Linked DNA regions of Daphnia pulex. Each later gene encodes a partner of the first gene's protein in a complex. Links are inferred from orthologs where the notes say so. Each region holds a gene or a part of one and is shown on either strand. Other genes may lie near its edges. The genes, in order: RNA-binding protein spenito-like and N6-adenosine-methyltransferase catalytic subunit-like.

Region 1 (4,319 bases):
TAGGCACGAATCATATCCGCCGAATTGCGACGAATCCGACGGCCAATCGGCTCAAGATCGTTATAACATTTGATAAAGACTTTATCTATGGCTGCTAGCGCTTCTTCTTTCGTGACGTCTGGACGGACGGCCATCACTGAGCCCAATGCTTTCATTTTGACGCATTCGGCGTGTTGTTTACGGATTCGGAAAGGCGAAGCGTCTCCCTGTAGATTAAAAAGCCATATAAAAGGTTGCTCAACGTTTTGATCACACACTTTTTTACCTGAAACATGGCCGACATGAAACTACAATGGGTCAGGTTAGCTGCTCTGATTTCCGTGCACGCCAAATGGTGGATATTTTTAAAATCAAGTTGGTGTCGACATGCGTCAAACATGTGAATCATTTCGTGTGTCAAAATTCCTTGAATTATTCCCTTGTTCCGAACTACATTCTGGCATACTACTATCTATAGACATAATCAAAAGATTATCATTATTAATTGAGAAAAAAGGACTATTTATTATCTGTAATATTTACTTGATTAAGTTTTGGATCATAGCCACCAGAAACCGAGACATCACAAACTTCACAGGCAATGTGTCTCCTCAAATCAATTTCACTATGTCAAAATGCGAGAAGATATTGCAGCATAAATGAAATTTAAAAAACCTTAATTTTATTTCATACCATCCAGATGATTTTAATGCACTGTACATTAACTTAACAAGAGGACCTAAATGAATCAAATGGAAGGATTAATTTACAACTGAATTTTGTAAGAAAACGTAAGTTCAGAGATGTTTACTGTTTTCAAAGCAATTGTAGACATTCCTTTCACATGTAGTTTTTTCTACATTGGTTTGACCAGCACCAAACAAAGCAATCTGCCACCATTTCGCACGTGCAGCTTCACCCCTTCTTTCGGGGTACAAGTCGTAACCCCAATTGTCTTCTTTGTCCACAGGTGCAGCTTCCGATGGTTTATCCGACATAATTATACACCTAGACTAGAAACATGCAATTAACACTGAATAACAATACATGCATCGTAGTAAAGTTTACGATGTCTTTACTTTTACAGGTACTTAATGAGGTTGTTTTGAATTTTTGCTGTTTTTAGTTGTCCGTGTTATTCAGCAGACGACAGACTGCCGGCTGAATGGCTTTACAGCATTGTGTGGAATTTGTTAAAATATTGATTGATATATTAAATTAAAAAACAAATCAAAATATTTCCCAATTAAAATAAAGAGTTTAATTGGAAATTCTCGATATTAAATTCTTAGGTATAAATTGCTAAAATGTAGCATTTTGCAATGCTGCCACGGAATGAAACCCCACCCCCAGAAGCTAAAATTGTCAAAGCCGAGTCCAAACTCAGAATAGAGCTCCGCCATTTTCTTCTACTTGTTCGGACGCGTTCTTTTTAAGCTCTGGTTCGGTGAGAAATACTCGTTGCATAACTGTTCGCAAGACCCACTTTATTGGTTAGTGTGTTTAGTTTTTCATCCATTCTCAAATATTGACGTGATTGTGAAAATGTCGTTGGTGATAATTCATCTTTGTTGCTAGGTTTACGTTGTTTAACATTGAATCGTTGATTGTTTGACAAGTCTTCAATATGAAACGCGTGTCCGACCGTGATGCATCGCCTTTCAGCAAACGCTCTCGTTCAAGCCTAGGCCATTATGATGAAAGCTCTGATGATGAGAGAGGTGGAGCTCCTCCTCCAAGACGTAGGCGTTCACCCAGCCCCAGTCACCGATCAAGATACCCTCTGCCTCCCGATCCACCAGTGATGAGGGAACGAGATGACTACCCACCACCAAGGTCTCGTCCACCACCCCCATCGACTGGTTACAAGACTCTCCTTGTCAGCTCAATCCATCCCAAAGCCAGTGACGAAGTTGTCAAAGACTCGCTCTACAGAGAGTTCAAAAAGTATGGTGAGGTTAGCATCAAGTTGGTGCACGGTGCTGAACCAGAAGACCGTTTGGCCTATGTTTCATTCAGAAACCCTGAAGATGCTCGTGAAGCCAGGCACAGCAAGCAGCGAATCATCTTGTATGACAAACCAGCTGTGCTCGAACCTGTTTACGAACCCTCTACCGCGCGAAGCACCAGGGCGCGTTCACGAAGTTATTCACCGTTGCCATACCGAGGCGAAGAAGAGCGTTACATTCGACCTCGTTCCCCAGATGATCGACACCGCATGTACGACGATCGTTACGATTATTCTCTGCGTGGATATGGTCCTCCACCTCCAACTGGCATGTACAGAGACTATCGTCCACCACCGTACGACTATCCTCCCCGTGGACCGTCATCTTACCGTGGTCACTCTTATTACGGCGCTGGAGGACATCCACCTGTCCCCCATTATGAAAGAAGTGAACGAGGTGGAGGTAGTCGAGGAGGTGGTGGTGGAGGCGGTGGAGCTGGCGGCGGCGGAGGTGGAGGTGGAGGAGGTCGCAATGAAGAAGGAGGCGGTGGAAGAGGAGATCGAAATCACGACCGCTACGAGAACAAGAAAGATCGTTTCCCAAATTATTTGCACCACATCCCGCCAGAAGAGGATCCATTGGCTACTCGGACTCTTTTCGCCGGTAACCTGGAGATCAACATAACAGAGGAAGAGCTGCGTCGCATCTTTGGCAATTACGGCATCGTCGAGGATGTTGACATCAAGAGACCGCCTCCAGGCACTGGCAACGCTTACGCCTTTGTTCGTTTCGAGAATTTGGACCAGGCCAATCGGTGTAAAGTCGAGCTTTCTGGCCAGTACATTGGCAAATTTCAAGTCAAGATCGGTTACGGTAAAGCCACGCCCACTACACGCATCTGGGTCGGAGGTTTGGGCTCGTGGACGTCGCTGGCACAATTGGAGCGTGAATTTGACCGTTTCGGCGCCATTAAGAAGATCGAATACAACAAAGGAGACACGTCGGCTTACATTTTGTACGAGACGATTGAGGCAGCTCAAGCAGCCGTTCAGGACATGCGAGGCTTTTGTCTGGGCGGCCCGGATCGGAAACTGAAAACTGACTTTGTTGACACCAATCCCCCGACAGCTCATCCGCCAACTGCCAAGACTAAAGGATCGTCTTCTTCCTACGATGCTGCCACCGCTAGAAGTGGAGCTGGCGACGATTATGCCGGCGAAACCAACTGGAACAATGGAGATGATCCCAATTATCGTGCGGGATCCGGTCGGACGGGTCGAGGAAACCGAAGTGGCTACGAGAAGAGGCCTAGCGGATATCGAGGATCAGGAGCCGATGGTGACGATTGGTCGGCAAACAGCAGCCGACGTCCTCCACCGGATGATTTTGACGCTGCCCGAGGAGGTTCCCGATCGCCGTCGAATGAAAGGCGAACCGACGACGGTGGAAGATTCACTGGATCCCGTACGCTGGCGGAAGTGGCTCGACGTTCTCCCAGCAATTGGACGGGCGCCTTGGTACTCAAGAATTCGTTTTTCCCCACGAAATTACACGCGACATCTGGCGAAGCGGCGATCGCCGATCTTTTGCTTCACGACGAGAAGAACCAGCCTCATTTGCGAATTACTCAGCGATTGAGGTTGGATCCGCCCAAACTGGAAGACGTTTCCCGTCGAGTTTCAGCTTCTGCGTCTCACGCCATCTTCCTCGGCCTGCCCGGATCGACAGGCGGAGCTTCCAGTCCCACTTCCGACGAGGCTGCAGGTGTCCAGAATCGTCCGCTTCGCAATCTCGTGACTTATCTCAAGCAGAAAGAAGCGGCTGGTGTCATCTCGCTGGCCAATAAGAATGCAGATGTGACTGGCGTCCTTTACGCCTTCCCTCCTTGCCCATTCGCTGCCGATCTACTCCGACGAGCAGCTCCGTCTCTGTCTGACGAGACTCTAAAGGATGATCACTTGGTGATAGTTGTAGTTAAAGGTATATTCAATCATTTCTAACTATCGTTTCATATTTTAATATCTTTCAATTGTATTATTTTGACAGGAGGAACTGCTTAAAACACAAATCAATCGACAACTGATTTACTACCATCTCTCAGACAAAGCCCGCGCACACCTTTAATCTTCTACCAACCGCTACCAAGATTTTTCACCAGCATACGAACGACATCTGGGTTTGGCCGTTTTGTTATCCCTACAAACAAAACCATAAAATAAAACTTTACCATTTTCTTGACCATTAGATGAGCTCTGTCAATCCTGACCTTTCTTTACTTTTTTTCTTGCTTTAACGTTTTCTTTTCAGGTTCCCGAAGCATCAGTTAAATAAGACCAATGTTTGCATCGGTGATTGTGTGTGTGTGTGAATGTGTTGTGTGTTTGTGTCGTG
Region 2 (4,296 bases), on another chromosome or scaffold:
GATCTCAGTTGAACAAAAAGGCATGATTCACGTGATCAATGCATGGTAAAGTCGCGGACTTTTGCGGTGTAAATCGTTCAAATTTCAACAACGGCCTCTTGAGGTGCAACAAAAAGTATCCAGTAACAAAGTTTATCATTCTCTTCTTTCTAATTTTTTTATTTTACGCAATCGAGGTGTGTGACACTTATTAAAAATGGGTGGATCAAAATGAATGAACGTTGAAAATGCGGAAAAAAGTAATTCGGAGCGATTCGCAAATTTCATTTGGCATTGGGGGCACTGGCATCTGGATAGTGTTTCTGGTAGGCTCGGGCAATGTCTGGATCAAGCAGATGGACACCATCGAGTTGATTTCCCAGGGTAATCCTAAATATCATGTAACAATGTCATTTACTTGCACGTGATAAAATTCTCATTTCCTTACTAGCGTCCATGAAAAGCTAACCACAAAATATTAGAAGGAAAAGAGCAAAAATACTACGTCGGGCGTCAAATAGGCAGAACGGAATTGAAGGACAGTGAGTACGTAATGCATGAAGGTCAAGTAAATGAACACACCAATTTGGCTGTACGTTGTGAGGCCTTCCAAACAACTCGATTTTGCGCGTTCCGGGCGAGAGACGTTCAATAATGCCATACATTTCGTCTGGTTTGTGGCTGGTTGCCCGCACTTCGGCCACGATGACGTCACAATCCAGTCCGCGGTTCAGCATTCTGGGATTACCCTTCATACCTACCTATAACCAAACAAAAATCCAGATACGCATGTATTGGAAAGTACGTTCGTAGAATATATACGTAACTACTAACTAGCTTAGTAGAGTGATTAAAACGCAAGGTGTAGTAGGGTGAGAAAATACGTCAATACCAAGCAGTGTTCTTTCCCATGGTTTAACCAGTGTCCTGTTCGACCTGTTCGAATAATCCTTTGTAGCTGGTTTGTCTTGACCCAAATAATTTCATCGACCCGTTCGTAGCCCCATAGCTGAAGGCACTAGAGAGAGAGAACACGCGTGAGTCACTTGGTTGATTTTGCTACATGTTGAACAACTATTTTAAAAATGTAATGATACCTCTCGGCCCAATTCCATGGCTCGACCAGTAACCCAGAGGAATATCAATCCTTCATCTTGAAGGATAGGAATGCTCAGTTGTCTCATCTCGTCATCAGAAAGGGTTCCATATGGAAGTTCCATGTGAATATCCCACGGTGGATCAGCCATGATAACCGAAAACTTACCTGAATCATAAATGTAAAAAAGAGAGTATTAAAAAAAACCATGGGACCTGTACATAAGGTTGCATATACCTAAAATGGCCATATCCAATGACCGTAAATCACACTGAATCCACTGAGCTGGGTACAGGACAGTGCTTTCACCTCGCGAGACCACTGCCTGACCGAGCAAGGAGCCGGGTTCAAAATCATCCTTTGTTTTAATGGCTTGGTCAACCTCGTAATGAACCTAACATTTTCCAGAAAATGAATTTAAATGAGAAGGTCTAGGGGGAATGCACATTGCGCAACAAGCTCACGTATTTGCACGTTTCCATATGAAAACAGGTATTCAAGAAAGAACAATCTCCAAGTGACTCGTCTGTGTGTGACTGTATAATTTTACGAAAATGAAGCCGATGGCAATTCCATTTGCTTTCGAGACCGTCATCTGATTCAGACATCCAAACTTTACGGCATTCATCTTTAGTTCCGTGGGCGCAAAACTCTTTAACCTGAGCCCCTAAAGAAAATTACTAATAATCAAAGTAACAAAAAAAAATTTGTCGCGTAAGGGTCAACTAACCTCCTTGTGAACGGAATCTTTCTGCTAAGGATTTTTCTTTGACAGTTGGTTTCGACAAAAGATCCAGAATTTCTTCGCCCATTTTCTTGTTTTCTTTTTCTCGTGTCGACGGAAGCGATAACAAGTTCTAAGGAAACAACAAGTTATATAAGTATTAAAACAGTGAACATATGTATTTTACCATGACATCATCATTTTTGGAATCTTTTTTTTCTCTTTTGGACTTAGATAGATCTTCTTTCACTGTTACAGTTTGTGCTGGTAAAGCCGACTCTTCAGCTTCCACTTCATTTTCTGTTTTGATGCAATGATTAGATTCCAAAGAGTGGAAAGTAGTATAAATTTACAGAATATTACGCTTTCGTTTCAAGGATATGGAATTTCCTAACTGATCTTCAGTAACCATAGCAACAAGACGAGCATGCTCAGCATGTGTGATGGTAAGTACTGGCTGATTTTCCTGTATGCCATCTACAAGTCTTTGAAATGGAATAATACTTAATATGGATTCTCAATCAAATGTGTACACACAACACAAACCTAATAAGTTCTTGAGCAGCAAATTTTTGGAGAAGATTACTGACAATTGTGTGTGAAACTAGATATCCAATTTGAGTGGAAACATTATGGCAAATGATTCTGGAATCTGAAGGTAAGGAAAGTGTGGCATCGGTTAATATCCTGAGAACACAATTTTCAATATCTTTATTGGCTTCTTTGCTGGAACTTGACAGATTTATCTCACATGCTTCATCTAGAAAGAAAAGAAATGTTGAAAAATCAGAATCATTGTTCTAGAACCTCATTTACCTGAAAATTTTTGATTGCTATCTGTTTTAACAGTTGAAGTTGAATCGCCTCCTCCAAGGAGATCTTCTCTTTCTTTTCTTCTCTTTTGTAACCGTTCTCTAAGTTCATTTCTTTTTGATTTGACAGCTTGAATCTCCTCCCAAGCGTCAGACATTTTGGAACAAATCAAAATAAATGTGAGGGATTATAAGAACAACAAAACTTCACAAACAAACCGGCATATGATAGAAAATGTCAGACAAGCAGCCAGATTGTTTTCATTCTGCTTTCAGTGTATATTATTTTAGACGGCCGCTAGATGGCCTTTTTCTGGAAATTGGCAAGGGCAGCAATAAGTACAAAAACGGATTAAAGATCCATGTAATTAAAAAAAATTAACATTACCATTCACTAGGTAACGTAAACCGATCCAATTTGCATATCATATTTTTTTTAATAAAAAAAAAGATGGCACTAGTGTTGGTTCGGGAAATGTCGTTCACGTTGGTTAGAAGTCGTCTGCTAGGACGTCCTTCCTCTTGTCGTGTTGGAACTTTCAAGTCACTAGTCACATCCAGTACGTCAGCCGGTCTTCTCCTTTAATTTCAGTCCCGATCAAAAGTAAGTTTCAATAAAATGTCTGGAAACCAAGAACGTACCTACTTGATGATCAAGCCCGATGGTGTCCAGCGAGGACTCGTCGGTGAAATCATCAAAAGATTCGAACAGAAAGGCTTCAAATTGGTCGCACTCAAATTTGTCCAGGTATGTGTGAATCACTTCTTAATTATAAGGAATTGGATCTGCCATTAATTCTGATTGTTCTTTAACTTGTTTGTGTCACTAGCCTACTGAGGAGATGTTGCAGAAACACTATGCTGACCTGTCTGGCCGCCCATTCTTTGCTGGTTTGGTGAAGTACATGGCATCTGGACCAGTTGTTGCAATGGTAAAGAAATAATTTCTTTAGCTGCAATTAACTGTTAGTTTAATACATGCAATGTACTTTCAGGTCTGGGAGGGTTTGAACATTGTCAAGACTGGCCGTCAAATGTTGGGTGAGACCAACCCTGCTGACTCCAAGCCTGGTACCATCAGAGGAGATTTCTGTATTCAAGTTGGCAGGTAAGACTAGTTTTGAATGATAACTTTACACCACATGTTAAATTTTTTTAAAATTAGGAACATCATGCATGGATCTGACTCTGTTGAGAGTGCCAACAAGGAAATTGCCTTGTGGTTCAGGGATGAAGAACTTGTTTCATGGCAGCCAGCTGATAAAGTTTGGGTTTATGAAGACTAGATCAATTGAAATATTTAAGGGGGGCTGAACATATCAGTGTTTAATATTTTAACTGAGATATAAAAATATCAAACTGAAAATATTGTCCTATTAAATTTCCATATTATTTTAGACGGTCGCTAGATGGCCTTTTCTGGAAATTGGCAAGGGCAGCAAAGTACAAAAACGGATCAAGGATCCATGTTATTAAAAAAAATTAACATTACCATTCACTAGGTAACGTAAACCGATCCAATTTGCATATCATATTTTTATAAATAAAAAGGTGGCACTAGTGTCGGTTCGGGAACTTTCGTTTCGTTCACGTTGGTTAGAAGTCGTCTGCTAGGACGTCCTTCCTCTTGTCGTGTTGGAACTTTCAAGTCACTAGTCACATCCAGTACGTCAGCCGGTCTTCTC

What was found.
Region 2: RNA-binding protein spenito-like (region 1) and N6-adenosine-methyltransferase catalytic subunit-like share a complex: the UniProt entries of both Drosophila melanogaster proteins name them as parts of the WMM complex. The link is inferred for Daphnia pulex from reciprocal best matches to the Drosophila melanogaster genes nito and Mettl3.

Annotation. Positions count from the first base shown.
Region 1 is NC_060023.1:11,551,182-11,555,500, forward strand, and holds the start of RNA-binding protein spenito-like, read left to right. Parts: upstream 1-1,330; 5' UTR 1,331-1,472; exon of another isoform or gene 1,473-1,557; 5' UTR 1,558-1,606; coding exon 1,607-3,908; intron 3,909-3,974; coding exon 3,975-3,988; 3' UTR 3,989-4,319. Other genes in the region: mitochondrial inner membrane protease ATP23 homolog, read right to left, coding at 1-206, 266-451, 523-604, 673-718, 791-977. UniProt on the Drosophila melanogaster protein: RNA-binding protein that acts as an associated component of the WMM complex, a complex that mediates N6-methyladenosine (m6A) methylation of mRNAs. M6a modification plays a role in the efficiency of mRNA splicing and is required for sex determination.
Region 2 is NC_060028.1:8,119,340-8,123,635, forward strand, and holds N6-adenosine-methyltransferase catalytic subunit-like, read right to left. Parts: upstream 2,943-4,296; 5' UTR 2,770-2,942; coding exon 2,616-2,769; intron 2,560-2,615; coding exon 2,346-2,559; intron 2,285-2,345; coding exon 2,163-2,284; intron 2,100-2,162; coding exon 1,987-2,099; intron 1,933-1,986; coding exon 1,806-1,932; intron 1,743-1,805; coding exon 1,540-1,742; intron 1,470-1,539; coding exon 1,313-1,469; intron 1,244-1,312; coding exon 1,077-1,243; intron 998-1,076; coding exon 872-997; intron 741-871; coding exon 562-740; intron 431-561; exon of another isoform or gene 370-430; coding exon 264-369; 3' UTR 144-263; downstream 1-143. UniProt on the Drosophila melanogaster protein: Catalytic component of the WMM complex, a complex that mediates N6-methyladenosine (m6A) methylation of mRNAs, a modification that plays a role in the efficiency of mRNA splicing and is required for sex determination.